7 linked regions of the Canis lupus familiaris genome follow. The protein of the gene in region 1 binds, or shares a complex with, the protein of each later gene. Links are inferred from orthologs where the notes say so. Each region holds a gene or a part of one and is shown in the gene's direction. Other genes may lie near its edges. The genes, in order: GNAI1, NUMA1, PTGDR2, GPR17, HRH4, RGS16 and FFAR1.

What was found.
Region 2: GNAI1 (region 1) and NUMA1 share a complex: the UniProt entries of both Homo sapiens proteins name them as parts of the spindle orientation complex. The link is inferred for Canis lupus familiaris from reciprocal best matches to the Homo sapiens genes GNAI1 and NUMA1.
Region 3: the proteins of GNAI1 (region 1) and PTGDR2 are in contact, whole or in part, in a cryo-EM structure (PDB 8XXV), measured with the Homo sapiens proteins. The link is inferred for Canis lupus familiaris from reciprocal best matches to the Homo sapiens genes GNAI1 and PTGDR2. Residues at the interface, in NP_002060.4 of Homo sapiens: Glu28, Ala31, Arg32, Glu33, Val34, Lys192, Asp193, Leu194, Glu318, Tyr320, Phe336, Asp337, Thr340, Asp341, Ile343, Ile344, Lys345, Asn347, Leu348, Lys349, Asp350, Cys351, Gly352, Leu353, Phe354; in NP_004769.2 of Homo sapiens: Arg129, Gln132, Val133, Pro136, Val137, Gln140, Asn141, His142, Arg143, Thr144, Val145, Leu233, Arg236, Arg238, Arg239, Pro241, Arg243, Phe244, Leu247, Thr307, Cys308, Pro309, Asp310.
Region 4: the proteins of GNAI1 (region 1) and GPR17 are in contact, whole or in part, in a cryo-EM structure (PDB 7Y89), measured with the Homo sapiens proteins. The link is inferred for Canis lupus familiaris from reciprocal best matches to the Homo sapiens genes GNAI1 and GPR17. Residues at the interface, in NP_002060.4 of Homo sapiens: Glu28, Arg32, Lys192, Asp193, Leu194, Asp315, Thr316, Glu318, Tyr320, Phe336, Thr340, Asp341, Ile343, Ile344, Lys345, Asn347, Leu348, Lys349, Asp350, Cys351, Gly352, Leu353, Phe354; in NP_001154887.1 of Homo sapiens: Thr92, Ala94, Asp156, Arg157, Ala160, Ile161, Pro164, Val165, Leu168, Lys169, Arg171, Arg172, Pro173, Leu247, Leu251, Arg252, Val253, Glu254, Leu257, Lys260, Ala261, Met264, Ile265, Ala329, Glu330, Lys331.
Region 5: the proteins of GNAI1 (region 1) and HRH4 are in contact, whole or in part, in a cryo-EM structure (PDB 9LRE), measured with the Homo sapiens proteins. The link is inferred for Canis lupus familiaris from reciprocal best matches to the Homo sapiens genes GNAI1 and HRH4. Residues at the interface, in NP_002060.4 of Homo sapiens: Ala31, Arg32, Glu33, Lys192, Asp193, Leu194, Thr219, Glu308, Asn311, Lys314, Asp315, Lys317, Glu318, Ile319, Phe336, Thr340, Asp341, Ile343, Ile344, Lys345, Asn347, Leu348, Lys349, Asp350, Cys351, Gly352, Leu353, Phe354; in NP_067637.2 of Homo sapiens: Arg112, Ser115, Val116, Ala119, Val120, Arg123, Thr124, Gln125, His126, Ile197, Ser200, Leu201, Arg204, Asp205, Arg290, Val293, Glu294, Arg297, Arg300, Leu301, Ser304, Leu305, Leu308, Cys361, His362, Lys363, Arg364.
Region 6: the proteins of GNAI1 (region 1) and RGS16 are in contact, whole or in part, in a crystal structure (PDB 2IK8), measured with the Homo sapiens proteins. The link is inferred for Canis lupus familiaris from reciprocal best matches to the Homo sapiens genes GNAI1 and RGS16. Residues at the interface, in NP_002060.4 of Homo sapiens: Val179, Lys180, Thr181, Thr182, Gly183, Ile184, Val185, Gln204, Ser206, Glu207, Lys209, Lys210, His213, Ala235, Glu236, Asp237, Glu238; in NP_002919.3 of Homo sapiens: Glu86, Phe87, Ser88, Glu90, Asn91, Ala126, Pro127, Glu129, Val130, Asn131, Ile132, Asp133, His134, Leu162, Lys165, Asp166, Ser167, Arg170.
Region 7: the proteins of GNAI1 (region 1) and FFAR1 are in contact, whole or in part, in a cryo-EM structure (PDB 9K1C), measured with the Homo sapiens proteins. The link is inferred for Canis lupus familiaris from reciprocal best matches to the Homo sapiens genes GNAI1 and FFAR1. Residues at the interface, in NP_002060.4 of Homo sapiens: Glu28, Ala31, Arg32, Leu194, Asp315, Thr316, Lys317, Glu318, Tyr320, Phe336, Thr340, Asp341, Ile343, Ile344, Lys345, Asn347, Leu348, Asp350, Cys351, Gly352, Leu353, Phe354; in NP_005294.1 of Homo sapiens: Arg37, Thr39, Pro40, Ser41, Leu100, Gly103, Arg104, Gly107, Ala108, Pro111, Leu112, Tyr114, Gln115, Arg118, Arg119, Cys205, Leu209, Ser212, Gly213, Leu214, Thr215, Arg217, Arg218, Arg221, Ala222, Val225, Ala226, Tyr278.

What each region holds. Positions count from the first base shown.
Region 1 is NC_049239.1:20,214,737-20,218,236, forward strand, and holds part of GNAI1 (guanine nucleotide-binding protein G(i) subunit alpha-1), read left to right. Parts: intron 1-3,025; coding exon 3,026-3,154; intron 3,155-3,500. UniProt on the Homo sapiens protein: Guanine nucleotide-binding proteins (G proteins) function as transducers downstream of G protein-coupled receptors (GPCRs) in numerous signaling cascades.
Region 2 is NC_049242.1:26,117,125-26,121,292, forward strand, and holds the start of NUMA1 (nuclear mitotic apparatus protein 1), read left to right. Parts: upstream 1-1,368; 5' UTR 1,369-1,450; intron 1,451-1,470; exon of another isoform or gene 1,471-1,589; intron 1,590-2,639; exon of another isoform or gene 2,640-2,759; intron 2,760-3,091; exon of another isoform or gene 3,092-3,127; intron 3,128-4,168. UniProt on the Homo sapiens protein: Microtubule (MT)-binding protein that plays a role in the formation and maintenance of the spindle poles and the alignement and the segregation of chromosomes during mitotic cell division.
Region 3 is NC_049239.1:56,036,532-56,039,406, forward strand, and holds PTGDR2 (prostaglandin D2 receptor 2), read left to right. Parts: upstream 1-1,172; coding exon 1,173-2,375; downstream 2,376-2,875.
Region 4 is NC_049240.1:24,318,443-24,321,942, reverse strand, and holds part of GPR17 (uracil nucleotide/cysteinyl leukotriene receptor), read left to right. Parts: intron 1-1,105; 5' UTR 1,106-1,236; coding exon 1,237-2,256; 3' UTR 2,257-3,500. UniProt on the Homo sapiens protein: Dual specificity receptor for uracil nucleotides and cysteinyl leukotrienes (CysLTs). Signals through G(i) and inhibition of adenylyl cyclase. May mediate brain damage by nucleotides and CysLTs following ischemia.
Region 5 is NC_049228.1:63,977,493-63,981,705, reverse strand, and holds the start of HRH4 (histamine H4 receptor), read left to right. Parts: upstream 1-1,413; 5' UTR 1,414-1,505; coding exon 1,506-1,698; intron 1,699-4,213. UniProt on the Homo sapiens protein: The H4 subclass of histamine receptors could mediate the histamine signals in peripheral tissues. Displays a significant level of constitutive activity (spontaneous activity in the absence of agonist).
Region 6 is NC_049228.1:15,891,055-15,894,984, reverse strand, and holds the start of RGS16 (regulator of G-protein signaling 16), read left to right. Parts: upstream 1-1,130; 5' UTR 1,131-1,256; coding exon 1,257-1,300; intron 1,301-2,194; coding exon 2,195-2,305; intron 2,306-3,270; coding exon 3,271-3,335; intron 3,336-3,620; coding exon 3,621-3,787; intron 3,788-3,930. UniProt on the Homo sapiens protein: Regulates G protein-coupled receptor signaling cascades. Inhibits signal transduction by increasing the GTPase activity of G protein alpha subunits, thereby driving them into their inactive GDP-bound form.
Region 7 is NC_049222.1:118,100,528-118,104,049, reverse strand, and holds FFAR1 (free fatty acid receptor 1), read left to right. Parts: upstream 1-1,275; 5' UTR 1,276-1,477; intron 1,478-1,785; 5' UTR 1,786-2,100; coding exon 2,101-3,000; 3' UTR 3,001-3,022; downstream 3,023-3,522.

The sequences.
Region 1 (3,500 bases):
TAAATACACCCATTTCACCACAGTGAGAAATAGGTTACGGCTCTCCCCAATTATCACTCAGCAGGTCATTGGCTACACATAAGAATACTCAGTTTCTGTTCTGTGATTTAGTGTGAGGGAGTAAATACACCTTACTGTGTAACCCATACCAATTTTTATTAGTATTTCCTATTCTATATATTTTTTTTAAGATTTCATTTATTTATTCTTTGGAGAGACAGAGACAGAGGCAGAGGTTAGAAGCAGGCTCCCTGCAGGGAGCCCGATGTGGAACTTGATCCTAGGAACCCTGGGATCACGCCCTGAGCTGAAGGCTCAACCACTGAGCCACCCAGGCGACCCCTAATCTGTATTTCTAATGCTTTATGACTATGTAAGCTATATAATATATACATATTATTTTGTATGTATTTTCTATATGTATATGTAACATGTTACTGAATATGTAGCTCCCCTCTCCAACTGGTGTCATCTTTTCTTAGGATATATGCCTTGACTCACAGATAGGTCTTTGCCTCCCTGTCTTACATACTTAAAATACAAAATATTTCTTTCAGAGCACTCACAGATTTACATTTGAGGTAATTTTTATTTGTGTTGAAATGATTTTCTGTCTCTGCCACTACACTGTAAATTCAGTGCGGTCTGTTTTCACCCTGTGTGCTTTCTCCATGACACACAGTTGTCATTTGCTATGCTCTTGTTTAATAATGAGTGAATGAATAAACCATACTTTACAGAAGCTCGAAGAGAAATTAGAAGAAAATGATTTACAGGAAGAACACGATTCTTAGACCATATTATTTGCTTTGGCACCACCAGCTCCTGCAGAAAGAGCTAAATGGGAATCACTCATGTTGAGAAGATTGCTCTGAGTAGAGCCCAGCTAGGGGAGCTTTTGCAGTAATTAAGGGGTCCTTCTCAGAGATGATCGGTTGAAGTCACTTTCCCTGTATGATGGGACTTCCTGGACCACTGCAGTCTAATGACCAAGACTTGTCCCGTGTGCTCAAGTATCGGGGTATGCACTGGAAAAATAAGTCATTTTGGTTCCCCAGTATTTCATTACTAGTAGTTCTGACTTCACGATGGCAACAAGGGAGCCACTTTTCAAGAATGAAGGAAGTCCTAGAAATCTTTTTCTCCATAGTGGTCACAGAGCCTCTTGATTTCTGAGTTTTGGGCTAGAGATGGGAGATGTTGCCAAGTTGCCCACTGGGACTATCTAACTACCAATTTACTTGAAATTCATGATCATTTTAAATAATTGGAGTTTTTCCCAATGCCGGATTAATTTGTGTTATTGAAATATGAATGTGCATTATTTTTAGAGACTATTGAGTAGCATTTTTAAGCAAATAAATGTATGGGAGTAATCAAAGTGCATTTTAAATAAGATTAACACACTATTTCAGAGGGACAATTCGTAAAATATTGCCATGTGTTTATTAGATTTTTTTTTTTACAATACTGTATATCATTATATATGTGGAATTAAAAACACAGAGTACTAGGGGATTATCAGCAATGTGATAATAAGATTATTTTAAGTTCAATAAATACAATGCAGATAACTCCAGGTATGCTCTATGAATTCTGGTATCAATATCACATACATATACTTAACTGTCTAAAACACTGTTGATTACTAATTCAGTGTTTCGATAGCTTTTCAACTCCATCTCTACAAATCAAATATTTATTGAGCTCCTTTTGTTTGTAAGATCTGTTCTAAATGGCTAAGGAACAGTTTCAGAAGATAACGTCCATTAAAGTTGTAGTAGTTGGTGCCTCTGTAATAAACACAGATGTGAATCTTCTAAATTATCTTTGACCACTGCACTCTAGTATCAGAAAACACTGTTGGGAAGCTTCCCATTTAGAATCAATTCCAGACTTCTCATTTGAGTTTATGCACAACTTCCTGGGGGCCTTACTTTGTGAGAAGCAAGATCTGACAATTCCTGCCTCCTCATACTGTTTGACTACTCTCCTGATCTGGATTGCATTCTTTTTTTCTGTTCACATCCCTCATCATTCAGATTTCTGTTTACAACCCTCCCCACCCATGAAGGCTTCTTTCACCACTCAGGTTCACATTACTCTCTTCATACCTGGACTTTCTATAACATTATTTACTATATAAAATGACACAGAATAATTTACAAAAATAATCGCATGGTATGACACCACTGCATTTTAGTAGCATAACATATTTGACATTGTTGGCAAAGAGTATTGAACGGGTGGGTGGCTAAAACCAGTGAGAAGTAAAATATGAATATATTTTTTTAAATATTTATTTATTTATGATAGACATAGAGAGCAGAGACACAGCAGGAGGGAGAAGCAGGCTCCATGCAGGGAGCCTGACGTGGGACTCGATCCCGGGACTCCAGGATTGCGCCCTGGGCCAAATGCAGGCACTAAACCGCTGAGCCACCTAGGGATCCCCAAATATGAATATTTATTTAGAGAACCAGTAAAATGCAGAGTAAAAGAGCGTGCGTAGTGTTTTCCTATTTGTAACTTAAAGCTGGCTGAAAAAGAATAGTATTGAATTTAGCCTTTGGCTGGAGATCTACTCATTACTTTCTCAAAAACTTCAGTCTTTGTAACTCCTCAACAAGAGTAATGTCCAGAAAAGAAATACATGCTACTTAAAAAAAGTGTAATAAAGACTTTTAAGAAGCTGACTCCTAGTGTACAATTGGTTGTGTGTGGTTTTTAAGAAATTATTCTGTTTTGTTTCTAACAAGGAGAATTACTAATTCGTGTCCTTAGGAAACAAAGTACACAGTACTTAGAAAATGTTAAAAGGGCTTTGTGGCTGGAGAAGTATACATTTTCATTTCAGTGGGAATTGTATAACATATAAACTTAAATTGGTTGTATTTTTACATCATTACACAGAAATATAAAAATTTCCATTGATTTATGATATTGCATGCATCAAAATGTTTTACTTCTTGATGTAGATGATCTTTAAGGGCTATATTAACTATTATTTTATTTATTTCTTCAGCTATTTGAATGACTTGGACAGAATAGCACAACCAAATTATATCCCAACTCAGCAGGATGTTCTCAGAACCAGAGTGAAAACAACAGGAATTGTCGAAACCCATTTTACTTTCAAAGATCTCCATTTTAAGTAAGTAGCTTTAAAGCATATCATTTACAAATTTAGGTATAAAATACCTTGTTCAGTAAAGAAAGGTGATTAGACAGACAATATTTTGGATGAAGAAGGACAGGAAACATTCTTAGGAATATTTAATTTTTATTTAAGAAAAAATGAACATGCAAATCTCTTGTTTATATTTTCAAAGTGATTTAAATAAAAATAATTTTTAGCTTTTATTTCTAAATAGAAAATATTGCTCTGATATTGCATATTTGGAGAAAGTGTTAACATGTATTCTTAGAATTTTACTGATTGTACATATGCTTATTTATGGAAATGGTAAAAATGAAGGGTACCTTTTAAAAGTTTTTAT
Region 2 (4,168 bases), on another chromosome or scaffold:
TTTGAGAAATAATCAGATGAGATCTAATAGGAGACTGAATGGCCTGGCCTAGAGAGGGCTTCTGTTTATGGGCTACAGGTGGAAGAAAAAGAATGTCACATGTCGGCCACATAATCTAGTGTATTCTGGGAGGTTATATTTTCAGATGCCACAAGGAAGCCCAAGATACAAACTAGCTCATGCCCTGGGGCAGTTTACTCCTTGGAACAAATCTTAAAGCTAGACAGGTTGTACACTCAAGCTAGTGACTTAGATTGAAATTGGTGACCTGGGGTCTAGTCCTAAATTGTCACTGATTTGGTGTGTGGCCTTGGGTAAGTCGCTTTCCTCTTTGGATTTCAGTGTTCCAATTTGTAAAATGGGGAGAAATATCCTTGACTCACAAAACTCCAAAGAGAGACTGAAGATGAAGGTGCTGGGTAAGGTGCCAAATGTAATCTGTCATGAAGACTGTAAAAGGAATCAAATGCTAACCATAGAGCTTTGAGAAGCAGACCACAGAGTTGTAGGGAGAAGAGGGAATTTAGGGACAGGACCCCAAATGAGTGTGTGTGGGCAGATGCTCCTGACTCTGAGGAAGAGGCTGTACCCTGGGACCTTGCTGCTTGTAAAGGAAAGAGACAGTGCAAGCCCCATACGTCTGCAGTGTGAAGGCCTGTGATTTAGTCTAATTTTACTTCCATGTCTTGAAGGGTCTCAGTTCATCAGAGGAAAACCCAACCATTTTCTGAGGGCGTTTCAGAATTCCCTCCGTCAGGGATTTGAGGCATCTGTATTAGGGGGGGTCTCAGGTTTGTGATACGGACGTTCTTAAGCGCCCCCAGGTCTGTACGGGTATGTATCTCGTTGCCCTTCCCTCCCCTCCCTCGGTCTATTCCATATGGATGTTGTGTCTTGTTCGTTGTCAAAGGGGGGTAAGGGATGTGTGCGGGGGGGAGGGGTTCTCAGGTCCCCGAGAAAGAAAATTCCTTAATCTCTCTTAGAACGAATTTCCTGTGTTCCCGCCTGACTCACCCGCAGTTGTTTTCCCTCCAGCCTCGGCGTCCCACTACCTCAGGCTTACTCAGCGTCAACTCCATAGTAACTACCTCGACCCGGCGACCCGCCGTAAGCGCTGCCGCGATACCTACCGGGAGCTGTAGTTCGCCAGGGGCGGGGCTCCAATGCCGCGGGACGTGCTGGGATTTGTAGTTTTCTTTGCTCTCAAGTCCAGGCCGGGGTCCGGAAATAGTGACACCCCCTTCTCTCTTCCCAGTGGTCCTCACACTTCCTTTTCCCGGGTCCTCAAGCGTGCCCTTGCGTGAAACTCCAGCCGACTGGGGCCAATCAGAGGGTGGCGCGAGGGGGCGGGGCCATGGTTTAAACTAATTGTGCGCTCACAGCGCTGGCGCGAGCCCGCGGCAAAAACGATCCCGTGGAAGCGTGAGGCGGAGCGGGAGCGCGCGGCCAGGTAACCGGCGCGGGCCCGCGGCTGGCGTTCGGTCTGGGCACCCGCAGGGATGCCCGGGCCTAAAGGGGGTGCTGGAGAGGCGGGTGCGAGCGGAAGGCCTCCTTCATAACCTACTCTGACTGGGGAGAATCTATTGGGGGTAAGGTTTGTGAGGAGGGGGGCATGTCCGGGGGGAGGTGCCGGCGTGCCTGAGGGGGGAGGGTCTGTTTGGGGGCGTGTCGGTGGAATTCTGTCTACGACCGGGGGGGGGGGGGGGGTGGTGGTGCGAGTAGTGCGTGTTCCTGAAAGGCTTGTGACCCAGAGGTCCCAGGGCAGTCTCCGCCTATTATTGTTAACAATAGTAGTAGTAATACTAGTAGTAAACATTTTCCGAGCACCGACTACGTTTCAGACACTCCCTTTACGTGGATCGTTTAAAAATATATTCCTGATTGTCCTATTATCCTTTATTACAGACGGGGAAGCGGAAGTATTTTATAATGCTTACTTGGCCAGGATTACATAGCTAGTGCATGGTTGTCTTCAATAAGGAGTAGAGGGTAAGGGGCTATGTGGGGGTGCGCCTCGTCTTGGACGAGACACCTATTTTGAGCCTCACGTCTCATACATAAACAACGAACTTAACCTGCCTTACCTTATTTCTTGGGGTTGTTCTGAGGGTCAAATCAGGTAAGTTGTTTCATGGAAGCATCTTGAAATGCACAAATCTGTGACTGTAAGTGACTTTGTGAAGGTTGTGGGTGGGAAAGAGCCTAACTGGCTTGATGCTGCCTCTTCTGGGTGCCCTCTCTTGCTTACCCGGCCCGCCCGGAAGTGCTTCTCACTTGGTATTGGAAGAGTGTCTGCATGTCTGTCCTTCTAGGTGGAGACAGTGTCTTTTGTCCCCGTATCCTGATGCCTAGGCAGGTGTGAGTGAAGCCTGCCTTGGCCATTAACATACACTTTGAAATGAGCTTTAATGTTCCGAAAGGAAATAAATAGCCTGGCCTTCCCATCTTCATTTAGTGGCTTTTGAACCTCTGTATGCTATCTTTTTGCCTGGAATGGCACTGCCTTCTAAAAATGTGATATTTACTTGCTTTAATCCATGTTTCCCTCTCTTGGTTTGTTGCCTGGTCCTGTATTCCCAAAGTTCTGGAATGACAAGTGCGGTACTTTGTGGTGGTCAGAAACCTTGGTGGTAAAGGAATTGGGTTACCTTGTGGAGATCTTTACTGCTATGAACATTTGGAAATCCAGAGGGAATATTCTTTCCATCAGTAGGGATGCATGTATGTGTTCCCTCCCTCTCTGTTCCTGTATGGTTCTCCTGTAGAAGAAGAAGCACATACTCCTCTGTAAAAGCTTCCAAAGTACTCTTTTCTTGGCCTAAGTTCAAGTAAATGACTAATTGTAATGCCTGGTTCTTTTTTTTTTTTTTTTTAAGATTTTATTTATTTATGAGAGAGAGACGCAGAGACACAGGCAGAGGGAGAAGCAGGGTCCATGCAGGGAGCCTGACGTGGGACTCGATCCTAGGTCTCCAGGATCACAGCCTGGGCTGAAGGCGGCGCTAAACCGCTGAGCCACCCGGCTGCCCTGTACTGCCTGATTCTTCATCTAATGCCAAAACTATACTCCCCCAAAGCTAGAAGATCTTACCTGAAAGCTCATATGAAAAACACTTCTATTTAGAATGTTCTTTTTTATTTATGGAATATTAAAGTGAGAAGAATGCCTTGAGTAGTACTTGAGTTCTAGAACTGTTAGGATGAGGGAAAGCCCTGCCACAGGTGGCTAAACAGAGCTGGTCTGAGAATGTTTTGACAGCTGTGTCTAATAACACCCTATGGTCATTAAGTGTGTTGGGGGTCATTTATTTCAGCCTCTTACTCAGTGTTATGCTAAACATATCAAAAGGTGTTGTCTGAATTCAAAAATCAAAATGAGCACTTACAATGATGAGACCACTCCCCCAAACAGCCTATTCAATATCGAACAATCCTAAGTAGCAATAATTGTTATTGTGATAGTATTGTTTTGTGCGGTCAGTGGTTACTTCATTTTACCCTTATATGCCGTTTTTTTTCACCATTCTTTCTTGAATTTTATTCCTTTCGTATTAGACAAATATATCCTTCAGATGTTTTCTTCAGTGAGGGTCAATTGGTGGTAAACACTCTTTGTGGAAACATCTTTATTGCCTCTTCAGTCTTGACAGTTTAGCTGGGTACTGGGCTTCCATTATTTTCGCTCAGCATTTCGAAAATGTTATTTTACTGAAATTTTGCGTTTTTGTTGTTACTTTTGAGAACTGTGTTCACAGTTTAACTATCATGTTGTTGTAGGTAACCTGCTTTTTTCCTTTGGTTTAAAGATCTTGTTTGTGTTTTGCAGTTTCATTACATGGTGTGGATTTAATTGTGTCCTACTGGGGGCTTACAGTGATTGCTCAATCTGAATTTTCATACCTTGCATGACTTTTTTTTGTTTTTTTAAATATTTTATTTTATTTATTTATTTTTTAATTTTTATTTATTTATGATAGTCACAGAGAGAGAGAGAGAGAGAGGCAGAGACACAGGCAGAGGGAGAAGCAGGCTCCATGCACCGGGAGCCTGACGTGGGATTCGATCCCGGGTCTCCAGGATCGCGCCCTGGGCCAAAGGCAGGCGCCAAACCGCTGCGCCACCCAGGGATCCCTAAATATTTTATTTATTTATTCATAAGCGACAGAGA
Region 3 (2,875 bases), about 36 Mb from region 1:
CTGAGCCAGAGAGCACCTACGTAAGGGGCCTACTGGAGTCGCTGGCACATCGTGGGGCCCCAGAACAATCTGAGTCCCCAACCCCTGCTGCCTAGCCCCTAGTTCCCTAATTCTTGCCTGCAGCCTCCCCTCTGCTCTCCCCAGTCTCAACCAGCTTTGCATCCGGTGGTCTTGGGTTTTTGAGGAGGCTGTGGGTGTGCACATCTGTCAGACGCTGGCTTCCCCAGCATTTACCTGAGAAGTTGCTCAGTTAATATCTGCTGAATGAGTGAGTCGCTGAGCAAATAGATGAGCAGGCTGGGCTTCCCCAAGGAGTGGGGAGCCGGCACATGGGCTCGGCTTCCCCGGGTAGGGGACAGTTCTCTAACCCTATTGGGCCTCCAGGGCCCTAGTCTGGTAGTTCCTCATGCCCAGCTCTCTCCTCTCTCTTATCTTATTTCCTCTCCAACTACCAGAGTAGGGGCTGGCTCCACAGTTCAAGGCTAACACACCCAACCTACCCCTGCTGTGGGAGCAAAGGGCCAACTGGAGAAGCTGCAGAGCCAAGATCTGAGCGTGGGACAGGCAGGGAGGGCACGTCCCTTAAAGGCACAGGCTTCTCCCACTCCCCTTCCCCAGGCCAGCTGACATCTCAGGTGGGGAACGCTGCAGGGATGGGGAAAAGGAATCCTGCGTGGCCTGGCTTTGTATCCGTTTCCATGTGACCCGAGGGGGCCTGCGGAATAGCGATCTCAACGCCGTGCTCGCTCAGGCGTACATATACTAAAATAATCTCAACATCGATGCGGTGCTTTCTGCGCGCCGGTTCCGCTCTCAGTGCTCATGTCTGTAAACTGGCCGGACACGCCCGGCAGCCCTAGGAGCTAGGGCCGGTTATGAGCTGACATCCACGTCACAGACGAAGAAACAGGCTCGGGAAGGTTAAATGGCTTGCCCGAGTTTGCACAGTGAGCGGGGTGTGTGTGTGTGTGTGTGTGTGTGTGTGCAGCTGGGATGTAATTCCCCCCACCTTACTGTCTTTGCTCAATTTCCCTGATCCCTCCCCCTGTCCCCACCCTCCAGGCTTCATCTCTACAGTTCACGGGTGGGATTCCAACGTCCTGGGGGAGGGGGTCCCCAGCTGCCAGGCGCCACCTACCTCAGAGCCCCTTCTCTCCGCCACAGAGCCTGCCATGTCGGCCAACGCCACCCTGAAGCCCCTCTGCCCCATCCTGGAGCAGATGAGCCGCATCCAAAGCCACAGCAACTCCAGCATGCGCTACATGGACCACGCTTCGGTGCTGCTGCACGGGCTGGCCTCGCTGCTGGGCCTGACGGAGAACGGACTCATCCTTTTCGTGGTGGGCTGCCGCATGCGCCAGACCGTGGTCACCACCTGGGTGCTGCACCTGGCGCTGTCGGACCTGCTGGCCACCGCCACCCTGCCCTTCTTCACGTACTTCCTGGCGGTGGGCCACTCGTGGGAGCTGGGCACCACGTTCTGCAAGCTGCACTCCTCCATCTTCTTCCTCAACATGTTCGCCAGCGGCTTCCTGCTCAGCGCCATCAGCCTGGACCGCTGCCTGCAGGTGGTGCGGCCAGTGTGGGCGCAGAACCACCGGACGGTCGCCATGGCCCACAGGGTCTGCCTGGGGCTCTGGGCGCTGGCGGTGCTCAACACTGTGCCCTACTTCGTGTTCCGGGACACCATCCCGCGGCTCGACGGCCGCATCATGTGCTACTACAACGTGCTGCTTCTGAACCCGGGGCCCGACCGCGACGCCACGTGCAACACGCGCCAGGCAGCCCTGGCCGTCAGCAAGTTCCTGGTGGCCTTCGTCGTGCCACTGGCCATCATCGCCTCCAGCCACTTTCTCGTGAGCGCGCAGCTGTGTCACCGCGGCCGCCGGCGGCCCAGCCGCTTCGTGCGCCTGGTGGCGGCCGTGGTGGCGGCCTTCGCGCTCTGCTGGGGGCCCTACCACGTGTTCAGCTTGCTGGAGGCCCGCGCGCACGCCGACCCCTCGCTGCGGCCTCTCGTGTGGCGCGGCCTGCCCTTCGTCACCAGCCTGGCCTTCCTCAACAGCGTGATCAACCCGCTGCTCTACGTGCTCACCTGCCCCGACGTGCTGCGCAAACTGCGGCGCTCGCTGCGGAGCGTGCTGGAGAGTGTGCTGCTGGACGACAGCGAGCTGGGCGGCCCGGGCAGCGGGCGCCGCCGCCGCTCCTCTGGGCCCCGCCAGGCCCCCGGCGCCCGCGCGCCACCGCCCCCGTCCGGGCCCGCACGCCTGCTTGCCTGGCTGCAGGGCGGCCGCGGGCGGTCAGCGCAGAGGGCCCGGTCCAGGTCCCAGGACGAGAGGGGCCCCCTGAACCGGGCGCTGAGCACCGCGTCGGGGTAGAGCGCAGCGACCGGGCACAAGAGCGCCCCGGGGGCGGGCAGGCGAGCCGGGCTCCGCGGCCCAACGCGCCTCCGGGGCCTCCGTCCCATCTAGAACCGTCAGGGCCCAGGGCGGGCGCCCGGATTCTGCACTTCACCGAGCTCCCAGGAGGCGAAGTGAGCGCTGCTGGTCAGCGGACCCCAGGGACCAGCGCAGGCGGGAAACCATAGATTGCTCCGACTTGAGAGGGGTGGCCACCCCTTCCTGGGGCTCAGGGCTCAGCTCCGCCTGATGGTCGGAGGGGGAAGGAGGTAAAGATCTTCACAGGAAACCAGCGATTGCGTTTCGGAGTAGCAAACCGGGACAAAGGTTTGGGAAGCACTGGTCTGGTCTAACTTGTCACGCAGTCACCTACCCCACGTTTGTTGAGATGCTCGATCCCAGGGACGGGTTCTGTCAGCCCCAACTTCTACTCATGATCCAACTGAGGCACACACAGGCCGGGCCACTAGCCCAAAGTG
Region 4 (3,500 bases), on another chromosome or scaffold:
CCTCTCCTAGAAAAGAATCTGCCTCCTGGTTGTTAAACTACTCTGGGTGTTAAAATCTCCCCTACTGGCCTGGGGCCCAAGTGCAGGGCTTTCTGAAATACAGGTCTCCACCCTTTAGGATGTCCAAAATGGAGTTGGTAGGCTGAGTCCAGAAAGCTTGGGACCCAGGCCTGGATGGCTTTCAGGTGCCAACGGACAGCAGGCCCCTGACTTCCAGGAAACTGCCCGTCACTATACTGCTGTTGGGGCCCTTCTGGGTGGCAGGTGTTGGGGGAGCTGTGGTCGGGGGCTGACAGGAGAGGAGCACAAAGCCGTGACAGGCTTCGCACTGCAGTCGGTGGGAAATGCCACAAGGCCTGGGTAGGCGGGCCAGGAAGGGTCCTGAGACTTAGGGTGAGCAGGGTTCACCCTGCAAGGATGAGGCCAAAGAGAAGCTGGCTGTGCTTGCATGCACCAGGCTCTCAGAAATAGGTGATTTAGGGACGCCTGGGTGGCTCAGTGGGTTAGGTGTCCAATTCTTCATTTCAGCTCATAACCTCAGGGTCCTGGAATCAAGCCCTGCATTGGGCCCCCTGCTAAGCCAGTAGTTTGCTTGAGGATTCTCTCCCTCTGACACTCCCCCCACCTAGGATTTTTCCTCGTCTCTCTATCTCTCCCACATAAATAAATAAATCTTGGAAAGAAAGAAAGAATGAAAGAAAGAAAGGAAGGAAGGAAGGAAGGAAGGAAGGAAGGAAGGAAGGAAGGAAGGAAGGAAGGAAAGAAAGATCTACCCCACCCACCCACTGGGAGTTGAGTCCAAGAGCCCCTCACTCCATCTCCTGCCATTCAAAAAGAACACTTGGGGAGCATGGCAGAAAATATGGGAATGCTCCCTCCATCCCAGAGCCCAGACAGATGGATTCACTGCCCACCCTCCCCATGGTCTGAGAGAGTGGACCTCTGGGACACCCAGCCCCAGGGCCCAGGCTCCTGTGTGCCTGGCAGGGAGGCAGCTGAGCAGTGGGAAGTCAGCCGCAGCAGTGGCCTGGCAAGCTCCAAGCCCTGGCTTCATTTTTGCTTTGTGCTGAGCTTCAGAAAGGCTCTGACACTCATTCTCCCCCAGGTGAACACAGGAGCTGCCTTCAGTAGTCCCCAAGGTGATGCTGAGCTAAGAAGCTTCTCGGGTTCCAGGCTCTGGAACCCATCTGCTTGTTCCCTCCAGGCTCGTCCCCCAGCTCTGCTTCCGGCTGAAGCATGAATGGCATAGAGGTGGCTTCCTCGGGTCTGACTGCTAACTCCTCCCTGGCCACCGCACAGCAATGCGGCCAGGAGACGCCACTGGAGAACATCCTCTTTGCCTCCTTCTACCTCCTGGATTTCATCCTGGCTTTTGTTGGCAATGCCCTGGCCCTGTGGCTCTTCATCCGGGACCACAAGTCAGGCACCCCTGCCAACGTATTCTTGATGCACCTGGCTGTGGCCGACCTGTCCTGCGTGCTGGTCCTGCCCACCCGCCTCGTCTACCACTTCTCTGGGAACCACTGGCCATTTGGGGAAATCCCGTGCCGACTCACCGGCTTCCTCTTCTACCTCAACATGTATGCCAGCATCTACTTCCTCACTTGCATCAGCGCTGACCGCTTCCTGGCCATCGTGCACCCTGTCAAGTCCCTCAAGCTCCGCAGGCCCCTCTACGCACACCTGGCCTGTGCCTTCCTCTGGGTGGTGGTGGCCGTGGCCATGGCCCCACTGCTGGTGAGCCCACAGACGGTGCAGACCAACCACACGGTCATCTGCCTGCAGCTGTACCGGGAGAAGGCCTCCCACCACGCCCTTGTGTCCCTGGCCGTGGCCTTCACCTTCCCGTTCGTCACCACCGTCACCTGTTACTTGCTGATCATCCGCAGCCTGCGGCAGGGCCCCCGTGTGGAAAAGCGCCTCAAGAACAAGGCGGTCCGCATGATCGCCATGGTGCTCACCATCTTCCTGGTGTGCTTCGTGCCCTACCACGTCCACCGTGCTGTCTACGTGCTGCACTACCACGGCGGCGGCACCTCGTGCGCCACCCAGCGCATCCTGGCCCTGGGAAACCGCATCACCTCCTGCCTCACCAGCCTCAACGGGGCGCTGGACCCAGTCATGTACTTCTTTGTGGCCGAGAAGTTCCGCGACGCCCTGTGCAACCTGATCTGTGGCAAAAGGCTCTCAGGCCCACCCCCCAGCTTTGAAGGGAAAACCAACGAGAGCTCGCTGAGCGCCAGGTCGGAGCTGTGAGCCCCAGGACAGGACGACAGGAGGGGACCGACGCCAGCCTTGGGCCCCACCCCTGCCGCACTGTCACAGACTGTCCTCAGAGGGACTCCCCCGCCGGGGCACCTGCGACCCAGACTGGAGGAGTGTGCCTTCTTCCCGGCACGTCCCTGCCGCCCTCTCCAAGGGCAGAACTCAGTACCCAGCACCCGGCTCCGGCTCCGTCTGATCTGATGCGCAAGTCCCTAAAACTGGACACCCCTTGATGGGCCCAATCAGCCACCCCGTCTGCAGAGACTTTGCTGGCACTGCTCACTCGCACTTACTAGATATTCAGTGACTTCATCGCGTGGGGGTGGGAGGGGAGGAGGCCAGGGGAACAGCTCCTGAACAATGAGCGTCTTTCTTTCCCAAGGGCTGCTTGCTAGACTCCCAATGTCCTTCCCGCCACAAAGAACACACAGCAGCAAAGCTCTGCAGAAAGAACCCCAGGAGGCAGCTGCGAATGACTCAAGAGAAGGCGGAGCAGGAATCTTGGTGGAGGGGTAAGGACTTTGAGTTCCCTGGGTGGCACCTTTGCCAGACGCCCCCTAAGTTTAGGGGTCATGGACTCTAACTCCTAGCTGAGTATTATAAGCACCTGGCCACCAGGTGACATCCAACAACGCGGTCTCTGGGCACGTCACCCTGGTTCTGGGTTCCGGATCCCTCCCGCGGTGAGCCCACACGGGCCTGCATGTAGCCCGACAATCTCTGGAGCTGCCTAATCCCTGCTGAGTTGGTGGTGCACACAGCACGGTGGACAGATATGGGGAGCCAGGCTCCATCACTGCCCTAGGACACCTCCGGCAGGGAGTCATGCCTGGCATGTGACCCTGTCTCCCACTAGCCCAGGCCAGCAGGGGCATCCTGAGCCCTGCCCCCTCTCAGGAGGCTTGACCAACCACAGGGGGCCAACCTTTGAGCTGTTCTATTCCCTGGCATGGCACCTACCACCCTGGCAGGTCCCTTTTGGCACTTGATCATACTGATCATAACCATAACTGTACTGTGATGCTGAAGGTTTTCGTGAGTGGGTAACATAACCACCTTCCCAGACCTCCTCCCCTGCACCCAAGAATGGCAAAGCAGAAGTGAAGACAGGAGAAGCCAGGCAGCACAGGCTTTTGCCTCTGGTTCTGACAGCCCCCCATGCAGGCTGGCCCCACGTGGACACTAAGTCCTGTATCACAGGCCTCAGAGGGCTGGCCCAGGCCAGGGGGTCTGAG
Region 5 (4,213 bases), on another chromosome or scaffold:
GTTGAGTTGGCTCAACACAAGGCAAGAGAATGAAATGTAGCGCAATATGATTTGTCATTATTATTTTCCCCAAATGTTACCTACCTGACAGTCCACTTCTATGAAGGCAATTCCCCACAACCTAAGGCACAAGGCAAGATTTCTAAGTCTGTTAGATTGCTTTCTCTTCCCACATGAAATTACAAAAAATAGAATTAAGAATTCTGGAATTAAGAAATTACATTAAACTAGTGCTGCATTGCTTTTTTAACAGAAAGGCCTTCTAAGTTGACTAGGCATAAAAACTGGCTAGTTTTGAAAGGGACTTTGTAATTGTGGAAGAACGTACAAATTCCTAATACCTCTTGTTAGTGAATTAATAGTGAGTGAAATGTAAAGAAGAATAAAGATTAAGGAGAGTGACAAATTGGAAAAATAATTCAGATTTTTTTAAAGACCTTATTTATTCATAGAGACAGAGATTGAGAGAGAGAGAGAGAGAGAGAGAGACAGGCAGAGGGAGAAGCGGGCTCCATGCAGGGAGCCCGACGTGGGACTTGATCCCGAGTTTCCAGGATCATGCCCCGGGCTGCAGGCCGTGCTAAACCGCTGCGCCACTGGGGCTGCCCCTCATTCAGATTTTTAAAAAAGGTCATGATCATTAATTTTCATGCCATGAATGAAAAATAATAAAATCAACCTTAAGTCAAATCTCTCTATGTAATATGTATTTTATTTTTATCAGCTACATTTTTAAGAAATTACAAGAACCATCTTACACACAAGACTTCCAGGTTTGTGCAGTTAAAAAATATGTATTACATAGCAGCTGTGCAGCAGAGTCCTATCTGGTACTCCCTGACTCTGCACTTCATCTCCCCATTGCAAGTAATCTGCTGGGGGCTCCTCCTGGATGTCCCCTCTCTGCTCTGTGCCCTGGAAACTCACAAAAGACAGTAAGCAGGGGCAGCTGCACAGCTGATCTCATTTTCTCCCCCCCTTTTCTCAGGGATCACTGTCCTTCATTGCCTAATGTCCGGTGCTCTGACAACCATTGTTTCATATATTCTGCTCAGTTTTTTGGTTCTGTCAGATGGGATGGTGAATTCAGCCCCCGGTATCCCATCATGATCAGAAAAGAATCTTTAACTAGATCTATACCAGTTCAAAAAATAAGTCTCATTGGAGCCCAATTTCTTATCTATTTACTGAATCGATTATATTTCACATATATTATGTAATATTGCTCTATTAAGGGGAGGTAGTTAAATCACATTCAAATGTTTACACTAAAACATTTCACTATCTTTTGGAAACTACTTTTTCAGTGTCAGTTAAAGGGAAACTGTTATCACAAGATTGCTTTATCAAGAATCAGGAAGTACAATGAGATCAGCATTAGATCTTGAAAAATATTGTTATGAGTAGGAGACTATATATATTAGGTACCCGATTGGAAAACATACTTGCCAGAATTGTCTTCCTGGATTAATTTGCTCTATTGAGCTTCTTCATCATTTGATGTGATGTCAGCTACTAATGGAACAATTACTTTACCACTAAGTACTCGCATTACTCTAGCATTTTTAATGAGCTTACTAGCTTTTGCTATAATGCTAGGAAATGCTGTGGTTATTCTAGCTTTTGTGGTGGACAAAAAGCTTAGACATCGAAGTAACTACTTTTTCCTTAATTTGGCCATTGCTGACTTCTTCGTTGGTAAGTTTCATGTCTTTATTTCAGATAATCTTTTCCAATTATAACTTCTTTCTAAAACCTTTAAATTAGCTTTTTTTCTTTTTAAAGATTTTATTTATTTATTCATGAGAGACACAGTCAGAGAGAGAGGCAGAGACACAGGCAAAGGGAGAAGCAAGCTCCATGTAGGGAGCCTGATGTGGCACTTGATCCCAGGTCTCCAGGACCAAACCCTGGGCTGAAGGTGGCACTAAACCACTGAGCCACCCGGGCTGCCCTAAATTAGCTTTAAAAAAAAATAAGCTTCTGTTATTTCAAGGGACTGTTTAGAATTGGGGATGTTAAAATAAAAAAGTTTAAGGATTAAAATTCTGAGGAAACTATATGCCACTTTAGGGGAATAGTATGTATGTGTAAATCAGGTTTGTAGGAGAATTTTCCTTGACAAAATTTATTTTCTTTTTATAGAATAAAAATAAGTCCAGAATAGTTCTAAAATTGCTTTAGTCTAAGATTTATTTGTTTCTGGAGCTATTTTCCTTGTATATTTAGGTTTATAAGTATATGTAGAAATGTCAGCTGATAGTATTGCTTTATAGGAGCTTCTAGTATAATTTAACTTGTCGTGTCTATAGCTACATAAATGCTTTCATTTATTTTACAGTGAAAAAAACCCCTCATAAAATGCTTACTTCGTTGCCTGGAACATAGGGTTACTCAACAAATGTTAGTCCTCTTTTGATTTCTCTACAGATAGATGACAACTCAAAGCAAGATCACAAATGATAGTAGATTACCTACCATGTGTAAGGACTGTTAAGTACTCAAGTATGATTAGAAAATGACATATACAGAAGACTAAGTTAATTTCTTTCTTTGGTAAGGTTTCAATGTAGGAGAGTGGATAAGAGAAGCTCACAAGTGACTGCAACAGTATAGAGTATGATACGAGAACCACAGGGACCCACCAAGTGCTATGGGCACTCAGAGGAGGGAGAAAGCACATCTGGTTAGTGGGTAGAAGCATCTGAAATGAACTTCAGAGGATGGGTAGAATTTCCATAGGCAGAGATGGAGAGGAGTATTCTAAGAATCAGCAAAGACATGCTGGTAGAAAATCATCGTGTCCATCTTCCTAAGTGTGAGCTCCAGACAGGCTGTGTGGGATCAATAGGGGATGAAGCTGGAGTAGTTGGAATCTATATAATGAAGGCCCTTGAATACTAGTGTGTCTGGACTGGAGGTTTTTCAACAGAAAATGTGAAGATCTGGATTTTTAAAGCAGAAGAGTGATCGGATGGATTGAGGCTTTACCTTGGAGGCATTAGCAGAGATGTGGCAGGTGGCAGAAGCCAGAGCAGGTGGCGGCTTGGCTTCGGAAACATTCCTGCAGCAATCTAGGCACAAGTCATATGATGAGGTTCTGAGCGACTGCGGGGAGTGTAGAAAGGAAGTTGGGGAGGCAGAGCTGCAAGGGTGGGGTTGGGCAGGAGATAAAGATTAAGTTCTAGGAACAAGAAAAGTATGGCATGATTTATAGGAATAGGGGGCATTAGGGAGGGCAGCTAATGCTTCTGATATTGTACTGATAAACGTCCTGGAGAAAACTTCTAGCTTTGAGAGATGGATGTGGAGTCACAGCATAGAAGGATCACAGATGAAGATGGTGAACCACATAGAAGTATTGAAAAAAAGCAAAAATCTCCCCTTTCCTCTCCTCAATTCTGCCCCTTCAGGTAACCCACATTAACAACTTGAGGTAGATCCTTCCATATCATTTTCTATAATCACAGACACATGTATAACTATATGATTATATTTAATGTGAAGAGAATATTCGCTATAAATATACTTCTCCCTCTTTGCCTTCTTCACAGAATTGTACAGCTTTTAGATAATACCTAACACTTCAAGTTGATTATGTATTTTGACTAACTCAAATGGAGTGGCAGTAGGGAGGGATCGGGTAAAACTATACCCAACCACAAGAGCCTGAGGCCTGAAGCTTTTGAACAAAGATGGTACTAGATAAGCACAGAGGGTTTCCTGGTATGGCCCAATGGAAGCATCAGGGCAGCCCCACCAGCATGTGCTTGCACACCAAGGGAAATATCCCTGCTGGTGTAGTTATTCAACACTCCTGAGGGTCTCCCTCCATTGGCAGGTGGATGGGAAAAGGAATGGCTTTGCAGCTGATGACAGCAGACACAAGCCAGAATCTTTGTTAATCTGCCAGTCTCCTCCTTGATCTTTCCCTTTCCCCCTACCAGCTTCATCCAGAAGCCCACTTATTTAATAGTATTTGCCATGATGGTATAAGAAATTAGGACAGCCTCTGAGAACTTTCTGTAACAAGATTGGAGTTTGAGAGTTTGGTGTTGGGGCTGTTCTTTGTCCTTAGTCATGCTTAGCAGTGGGCTTTTTGGCTCTGAGCCTATAGGCTCATGATGGTGGTGCTGGGCCAGGGGAGAACTCAGGAGAACTTTCCTGTAGTTGTAAGGCAGAAATTCTTAGTTCTTTTGGTCAAGAGACCTTG
Region 6 (3,930 bases), on another chromosome or scaffold:
AGAGATAAGGAAAGTGAGGCACAGAAAAGTTAAGAAGCTGCCCTAAGGTCTCCCCCATCAGTACGTGGTGAAGCCATGATGTGAAACCTGGAAATCCAGCTCTGGATTCCACACTGCAAACCTCACACGCAGCCTCATTAAATAGCAATCCCAAGGGGAACGGAGGAGCCACGGTGGGAGGGGAGGGCTGCTGTGAGGCCTTTATGGGAAGGCTGGGAGAGAGGGAGGGCATTTATTACCTGGACTTCAGAGATAAGACACTGAACTAGCTGCTGCTTGAACCCAGGATCATTCATCAGCTTACAGAGGTGCTGGGATTCTAATTTTGGCTGGGAGGGCAGTGGAAAAAGCGTGGTAAATTCGTATTTGAATGCTGGCATAACACTAATCGTGAAACGCCGAGCAAATTCTTTCACCTCGCTCGTCCTAACTCAGTAAAAACGCCTGGCACACCGATGCTCCATAAAGAGCGCTCCCCCCCCCCCCCCCCGGCCGTTTGTCTGCCAGTTCCAACCCTCTGATCTTGCGCAAGTCCCTTTAACTTTCTGACTCAGTTTCTTTATCTGTGAAACAGGTGATGAGATGAGGAGCTGTGGTAAAGGGCTGACTTGGCCCCCTTGACCGACCGCTCGGGGAGGAGCACAGCAAACGGGGGTTATCAGGGTCATCGTGGCGTCGTCTTGCGGGGCTTGCAGCCCTGGCCGCCGTGGGTCAAGACGCAGCAGGTTCAGGCAGGCGCAGGCGGCGCGAGATCCACGCTGTGCGCATCCCCAACGCGCTCCCCCCCCCGCCCCGCAGATCCGCCGGCTACCGCGGAGTCGGCTTTCGGCTTTTACCGGAGGCCTCCGGGATTTTTTCCGACTGAGCCGAGTGGGCGCTTCTCGGGCCGTGTGACTTCCCGCCGCTCCTCGCTCCGCAGCCCGCTCAGCCCCGGGGAGCCGCAGCCACGTGCGCCGCGCCGCGGGCCCCTGCGGACGCCCCGCCCCTCGAGCCCCGGCCCCGCCCCCACCGCCCTCCGATTGGTCGGCGGCGCCCGGCCCCGCCCCGCTCCTCCGAGGGAATAAAAGCCGCGGTAGGCGCGCGTCGACGAGTGCAGCCCCGCCAGGCTAGAGCCCGCCGCGCCCCGCCGCCGCCGCCGCCGCCGCCCCCGCCCCTGCGCCCCTGCGCTCCTGCCGCCCGGCGTCCGCGGTGGTTCGTGGTGACCGCTGGAGCCCGTCACCGTCCTCTCCACGACGTGCTGCCCCGAACCCGCAGCCATGTGCCGGACCCTGGCCGCCTTCCCCACCACCTGCCTGGAGAGGTAAGAGGAGCTCGTCCCCGGAGCTTGCCGGCCGCCCGCAGGAAGGCCAGGTCCCGCCAGTCCCTCGGGAGCGGGGCGGACGGGCCCCGGGGGGACTCGAGCGACTGGAGTAGAGAAGCGGAGGTTCCACATTCTCAGAGGCTTCCCCTAGAGTCTTAGAGGAGCGACGGGCCAAGAGAAGCGAGAAGGAGAAGCAGCGGGAAGCAGCGGAATCACCGTGGACTGCCATTCCCCATCCTCTGACAAGTGGCAGTCCTCAGGTGACCTGCTGAAGACCGGCTGCAGGAGGGGCACATTGGCATCGGCGGGCAGAGTTCCCTTTTCTAGTTTCTTAAGCGCTTGGTTTTCAGTCTACAGCCCAGACCTGGGAGCATGCCCCTCGCGGGGCCCCGAGAAGGCAGGGAGGGGTTTTTGGGGGGTCCACCCGTGAGGGATGTGCCCACTCCCCAGGGAGCTACTCAACCACCTCTAGTCCTTGCTGAAGCTGATGGCTGGGAAGGAAAAGGGAAGAAGGTGGAAGCAGGAATCAATTTCCACACAGTTTGAGAAATATTCAGGACAAGTCTAGAGGGTGCCCACCGGCCTTCTGCTGATCAACAGGCACAAAGATAGATCAGTGTGCTTAGATGGGGGGAGGGGGGGACCCGAGTGTGCTGTGCCCTGAACTCAGAAAGTGTAAGTCCTGCTGAAGAACAGCTGAAACATGACTTTCACTGTTAACAGACAAGCAAAGTTTAAGCCCTGGGAACAGCCGAAGTTTCCCAGGAACCCTTGAGGCTGGAATTAGGGTGGCACCAGCCCCAAACTCCTCGGGATCCCAGGAGTTTTTTGCCTGGCTTTTTGCCCTGGCTGAGCAAATGTAGGATCCCTATATGTTCCTGCTTTGTCTTCCAGAGCCAAAGAGTTCAAGACACGACTGGGGATCTTTCTTCACAAATCAGAGCTGGGCTCAGATACTGGGAATGTTGGCAAGTTCGAGTGGAGCAGCAAACACAGCAAAGATGGGTAAGTCTTGCAAGCCAGCCTAGGGCCCTAGGGGGGAGGGAGCCAGATTTAGGAAAACAGCCACAAGAGAGAAAATACAAGGAGAAACTAGGACATGCAAGGGTGGGCCCTGGTGACCCCTTCCTGGAGATTTTGGTGAAGCTTCCTGCTGGTCTGCTATGGGTGACTGGGTAGGTGGCTCCAGGGTTCTGAGGCCACCAACAGCTGTGTGTACCCAAGGTGGGAATGTCCAGTTACCAGACTCTCCCACCTGGAGACGTCATTGTCCATGCAACCAGGTCTAGGACGGGGTCTAAGAACACTTGAAGGCTTTTCGGTCAGTGATTCTGCTTCCATTAGCATGCACTTTGGCTATAAGCCCTTTCTTTTTTTTTTTTTTTTTTTTTGTATGATAGTCACATAGAGAGAGAGAGAGGCAGAGACATAGGCAGAGGGAGAAGCAGGCTCCATGCACCGGGAGCCCGACGTGGGATTCGATCCCGGGTCTCCAGGATAGCGCCCTGGGCCAAAGGCAGACGCTAAACCGCTGCGCCACCCAGGGATCCCCAAGCCCTTTCATAATTAACATCAGTGGTGCCAGGTGCTGCTCTAGGCTCTGGGGTTATGGCTAGGCTTAGCCTCTATTCCATAAAGCCCTTACTTCCTGGGTGAAGTGTAGAAAACAAAGCTCAGAGTCAGAGGAATAGAAATGATTTTTGACAGTGAAGAGACAGTCTGAGAGTTATTTACTGAGGGCCGGAAGGTCCCTGGCTTTGGTTTCTCATTACTGAATTGTCCTCCAGAAAAATACCTGCGGCCTCAACTAAGGGTTCAAGAAGTTGGCTCCAATAATCACTGAGCAAATCTCTGTGTGAACATACAACTCCCATCAGAGTTCTAGGATTTATGCTATGCATTAGTATGTTGGGTTTTTTAAATTAAAATCTTGGCTATTTGTTTATTTATTATATATATATTTTTTTTAGCAGAAACTTCTCAGAAGATGTGCTGGGGTGGAAAGAGTCCTTTGACTCGCTACTGAGCAGTAAAAGTGAGTAGGACCCCGTTGTGTCTGTCTGCGGATGGCACATGTGTACCCATGTGCTTTGGAGCCAGCCTGAGGGATTCTGAAAAGCGTGGGCAAAATAATAGTCGTAGTAATAATAATAATGATCCCCTAGTGTGCCAGCCTCTGTTCAGAATACAAAGGCAGGTCCTTGTTCAAGAAAATTACATCCTAAAAATAGAACCATTAACTACAATTGCTGTCTTTCTTCTTTTATTCCCCGCTGTCCTGCTATCTGACCTGTTTCTCCCTCTCTCCCCTCAACCCCAGATGGAGTGGCTGCCTTCCACACTTTCCTGAAGACAGAGTTCAGTGAGGAAAACTTGGAGTTCTGGCTGGCCTGTGAAGAGTTTAAGAAGCTCCGATCTGCTGCCAAGCTGGCTTCCCGGGCTCACAAGATCTTTGAGGAATTCATCCGCAGTGAAGCCCCTAAAGAGGTCAGAGCCTCAGCATGTTCTGTGGGTCCTCTAGACCCTGCCTGCCCTTTCCCCGCTGAGGATTGGGGATGGGGAGGTATCCAGCCGGGGCAGGGTTGAGCTGAGAGAGTGATCTTATTTGGCACAGGGGTGAATGGGCTTGT
Region 7 (3,522 bases), on another chromosome or scaffold:
CCTCTTCCAAACACTCGTTATAGGGGGTGAAATGGTCCTTCTGATTTTTCCTTTGGTTCTGTTGGTTCCCAAGGATAAAATACTAAACAACAGATGGCGAGTTCTTCTCTATCCCCAGGGAGGTGCTGGACCACATACGCAGGCCATGGGAGGGAAGCAACCAAGAATCAGTTTAGCAAATGAAGTAGGGAAGGGGGGATGGATTCAGTTATTTCTTTGGAGGCAATTGTTGGTGCCCCGAGAATCCCGTGCTGCCCCCACCTGAAGCCTGGGGGCCAAGGGGGGACGCTCCCAGGAAACCCCTAGCGAAGCTTGTCCTGGGTGCTTGGAATCCGGGAGGACCTGATGGCTGAAACACACCCCCCAAAACAGAGGAGTCTGAAGTCCAGAAAGCGTTTGTGTTGTCCGAGGCAGAGACAGAGAGACACAGGTATAGTCAGAGACAGAGAGACAAAACCCCCAGACAGACTGTGGCCATTTTAAATCTCACTTAGAAGGGGCACCTGGGTGGCTCAGTGGTGGAGCATCTGCCTGTGGCTCAGGGCGTGATCCCGGGGTCCTGGGAGCAGGGAGCCTGCTTCTCCCTCTGCCTATGTCTCTGTGTCCCTCTCTGTGTGTCTCATGAGTAAATAAATAAAATCTTAAAAAAAAAAAAAAAGATCTTCCTAGAAGGGCAAGGTGACCCCCATAGGGAGTAAGTGGGTGAATTCTCCGAGGCTGAGAAGAAAGCTAAGCAGTGCGCTGGAGTCTCACACCATCCATGCCTCGAACCATCCGCCCAGCATCGGTCCAAGTGTCCCAGAGGGACACAGTACGGGGACCACGGCTCGGCACTTCAGGGCCACCCAACGAGACCCGTCCCTCATCTGTCCTTTGCGCCACTCCTGCCGGCACCAGAAGGAAGGGTCAGAAACTACTGTCATCGAGCCAGAGGGGAAAGGACAGGGAACACCGGAGCCCTCTCCTCCCAAAATGTGCCCACCATCTGTGGGGGTCCGGGGAGGGCAGAGGAGACATCCCTGAAATGATTACTTCATTGTCCCACATTCCAGTCACCGAATTGCCGTGGGGTGGGCCACCAAAGTTTGTGGTGTCTGAGTGAGCCCGTAAGGCCGGGAGGAGAGAAGACAGCGCCCAGAGCAGGGCTGAACAGGCTGGGGTGGGGTGGGATCAAGCCGTAGCCTGGACGCCCCCCCCACCACCCTGCTCCTTTAAGGGACTAGCTACACACGCCTCACGCTACCCCTCATTGCTCCCCAGCCCCCGCCCTGTGTTTGCATCATCCGTTTGGACCCGTACCCCGGCTCCTGCGCTGAGATGCCCCATTAGCTGCTCACCCAGGCTGCTGCAGCCTCGGGCTAATGGCCCTGCCTCCCCGCCCTCCTCTACCTTCCGGCTCACTGCCCATCCTGGACGCCCTCCCTCAGCCCAGCGAGGGGGACTCCTGAGCCTCAGAGACATCTGGCAGCGCCAAGAGGTGAGTCCCTCTTCTTTTGGCTCCTCTCTCCTGCGATTATCCCCCAGGCCCCCCAGCATTACCTGCCCGGGGCGCCCCCTGAGGTTGGCTAAGGTCATTCCCGGTGGCCCTGATGTGGGGCCTGGCCTGCCTTTGGGCTCAACCCCGCGCCGCCCCCCTTCGCCTGCCCTTTACCCACCTTACCCCAATCCTGACATCCCCCCTCAGCTAGGAGTCGCCACCAGCCCCCCACCGGCTGCCATGCAGGTGCCCCCTGTCCCTGCCGGGGGCCTGACTCTGTCCTGACTTTCTGCCCCTTCTCTCCCCAGTCTCAGAAACCAGGCGGCCTTTCCTCGAACGGGACCTGCTCGCTTCCTTTGTGCTTTAAGCGAGGATACGAGGATACGGGGATACGAGGATACGAGGATACGGAGGACAGGAAGCAGAGGCCCGAGCTAGAGACCTCACTTGGCGCCCAGGCTCGCCTGCTCCCTGGGGGCCTCCCTCGTTGAGATAGTTGGTGTCGCGCTAGATGGCTTCTAGCGCTGGGGGCGGTCCGTGACCCCGGGAGCCCCTGCCCTGCCCCCCCACCCTGCCCGGGCCCATCCCAGGGTGGGGAGCGAGGGGAGCTCAGCCCTGGCCCCATGGACCTGCCCCCGCAGCTCTTCTTCGCCCTCTATGTGGCCGCCTTCGCGCTGGGCTTCCCGCTCAACATCCTGGCCATCGGGGGCGCCGTGTCCCACGCCCGGCTCCGCCTCACCCCCAGCCTCGTCTACGCCCTCCACCTGGGCTTCTCTGACCTCCTGCTGGCGGCCTCCCTGCCCCTGAAGGCGGTGGAGGCGCTGGCCCTGGGCGCCTGGCCTCTGCCCGCCCCGCTCTGCCCCGCCTTTGCCCTGGCCCACTTCGCGCCCCTCTACGCCGGCGGGGGCTTCCTGGCTGCCCTGAGCGTCGGCCGCTACCTGGGGGCCGCCTTCCCCTTGGGCTACCAAGCGGCCCGCAGGCCGCGCTACTCCTGGGCCGTGTGTGCGGCCATATGGGCCCTGGTCCTCTGTCACCTGGGGTTGGTCTTCGGGCTGGAGGCTCCGGGAGGCTGGGTGGACAACACCACCAGCTCCCTGGGCATCAACACGCCGGTCAACGGCTCTCCAGTCTGCCTGGAGGCCTGGGACCCTGCCTCAGCGGGCCCCGCTCGCCTCACCCTCTCTCTCCTGCTCTTCTTCCTGCCCCTGACCATCACGGCCTTCTGCTACGTGGGCTGCCTCCGGGCACTGGCCCGCTCAGGCCTGAGCCACAGACGGAAGCTAAGGGCAGCCTGGGTGGCCGGCGGGGCTCTGCTCACGCTGCTGTTCTGCTTAGGACCTTACAATGCCTCCAACGTGGCTGGCTTCCTGCGCCCCGACATAGGAGGCTGCTGGCGGAAACTGGGGCTCATCACGGGGGCTTGGAGCGTGGTGCTCAACCCACTGGTGACTGGCTACTTGGGAGGGGGCACCGGCCGGGTGACAAGTGTGGCAAGAACGAAAGGAGGGACATCTCAGAAGTAGTAGCCGCTGCTGGGGACAAGGGGCATGGAGCAGGAGGGCCTGGCTGCCTGGCCGGGCCCCTGCTGGGGACTCCTCCAGAGGAGCTGCAGCGCAGCCTTGCCTGGGAGCATCCCTGGAGCGGCTTGGAAAGGCCTGAGCCCGGCAGAAGGCCGCACCCCAGCTGCAGGGAAGACCGGAGGCCAGGAGCTAGGTCACAGAAGGAAGGTAAGCTTGCCTCTGGGCCCATCGGCGCAACTCCCCACCTGTGCCCGTCCCTCTTCTCCCCGTGCCCCCCTGCCAGTGCTACGGAGGTTTTCCTCCAACGTTGAGGAAAGGTTGCTCTGCCGATACCCTTTGGGAGATGCTACTCCCAACGTGTGGCCTAGGAAAGAACATCTTCATTTGCGAGTAAGAGGCAGGAGTCAAGATACTGACGCTGTTATACCACTTGGGACTCACAAGAGGGCAGCATTGGAATTGTGAACAGGAAGTTGGTAGGAAAAAGGATGCTCCAGCAGGGAGAGGGAAAATACTAGCAACACC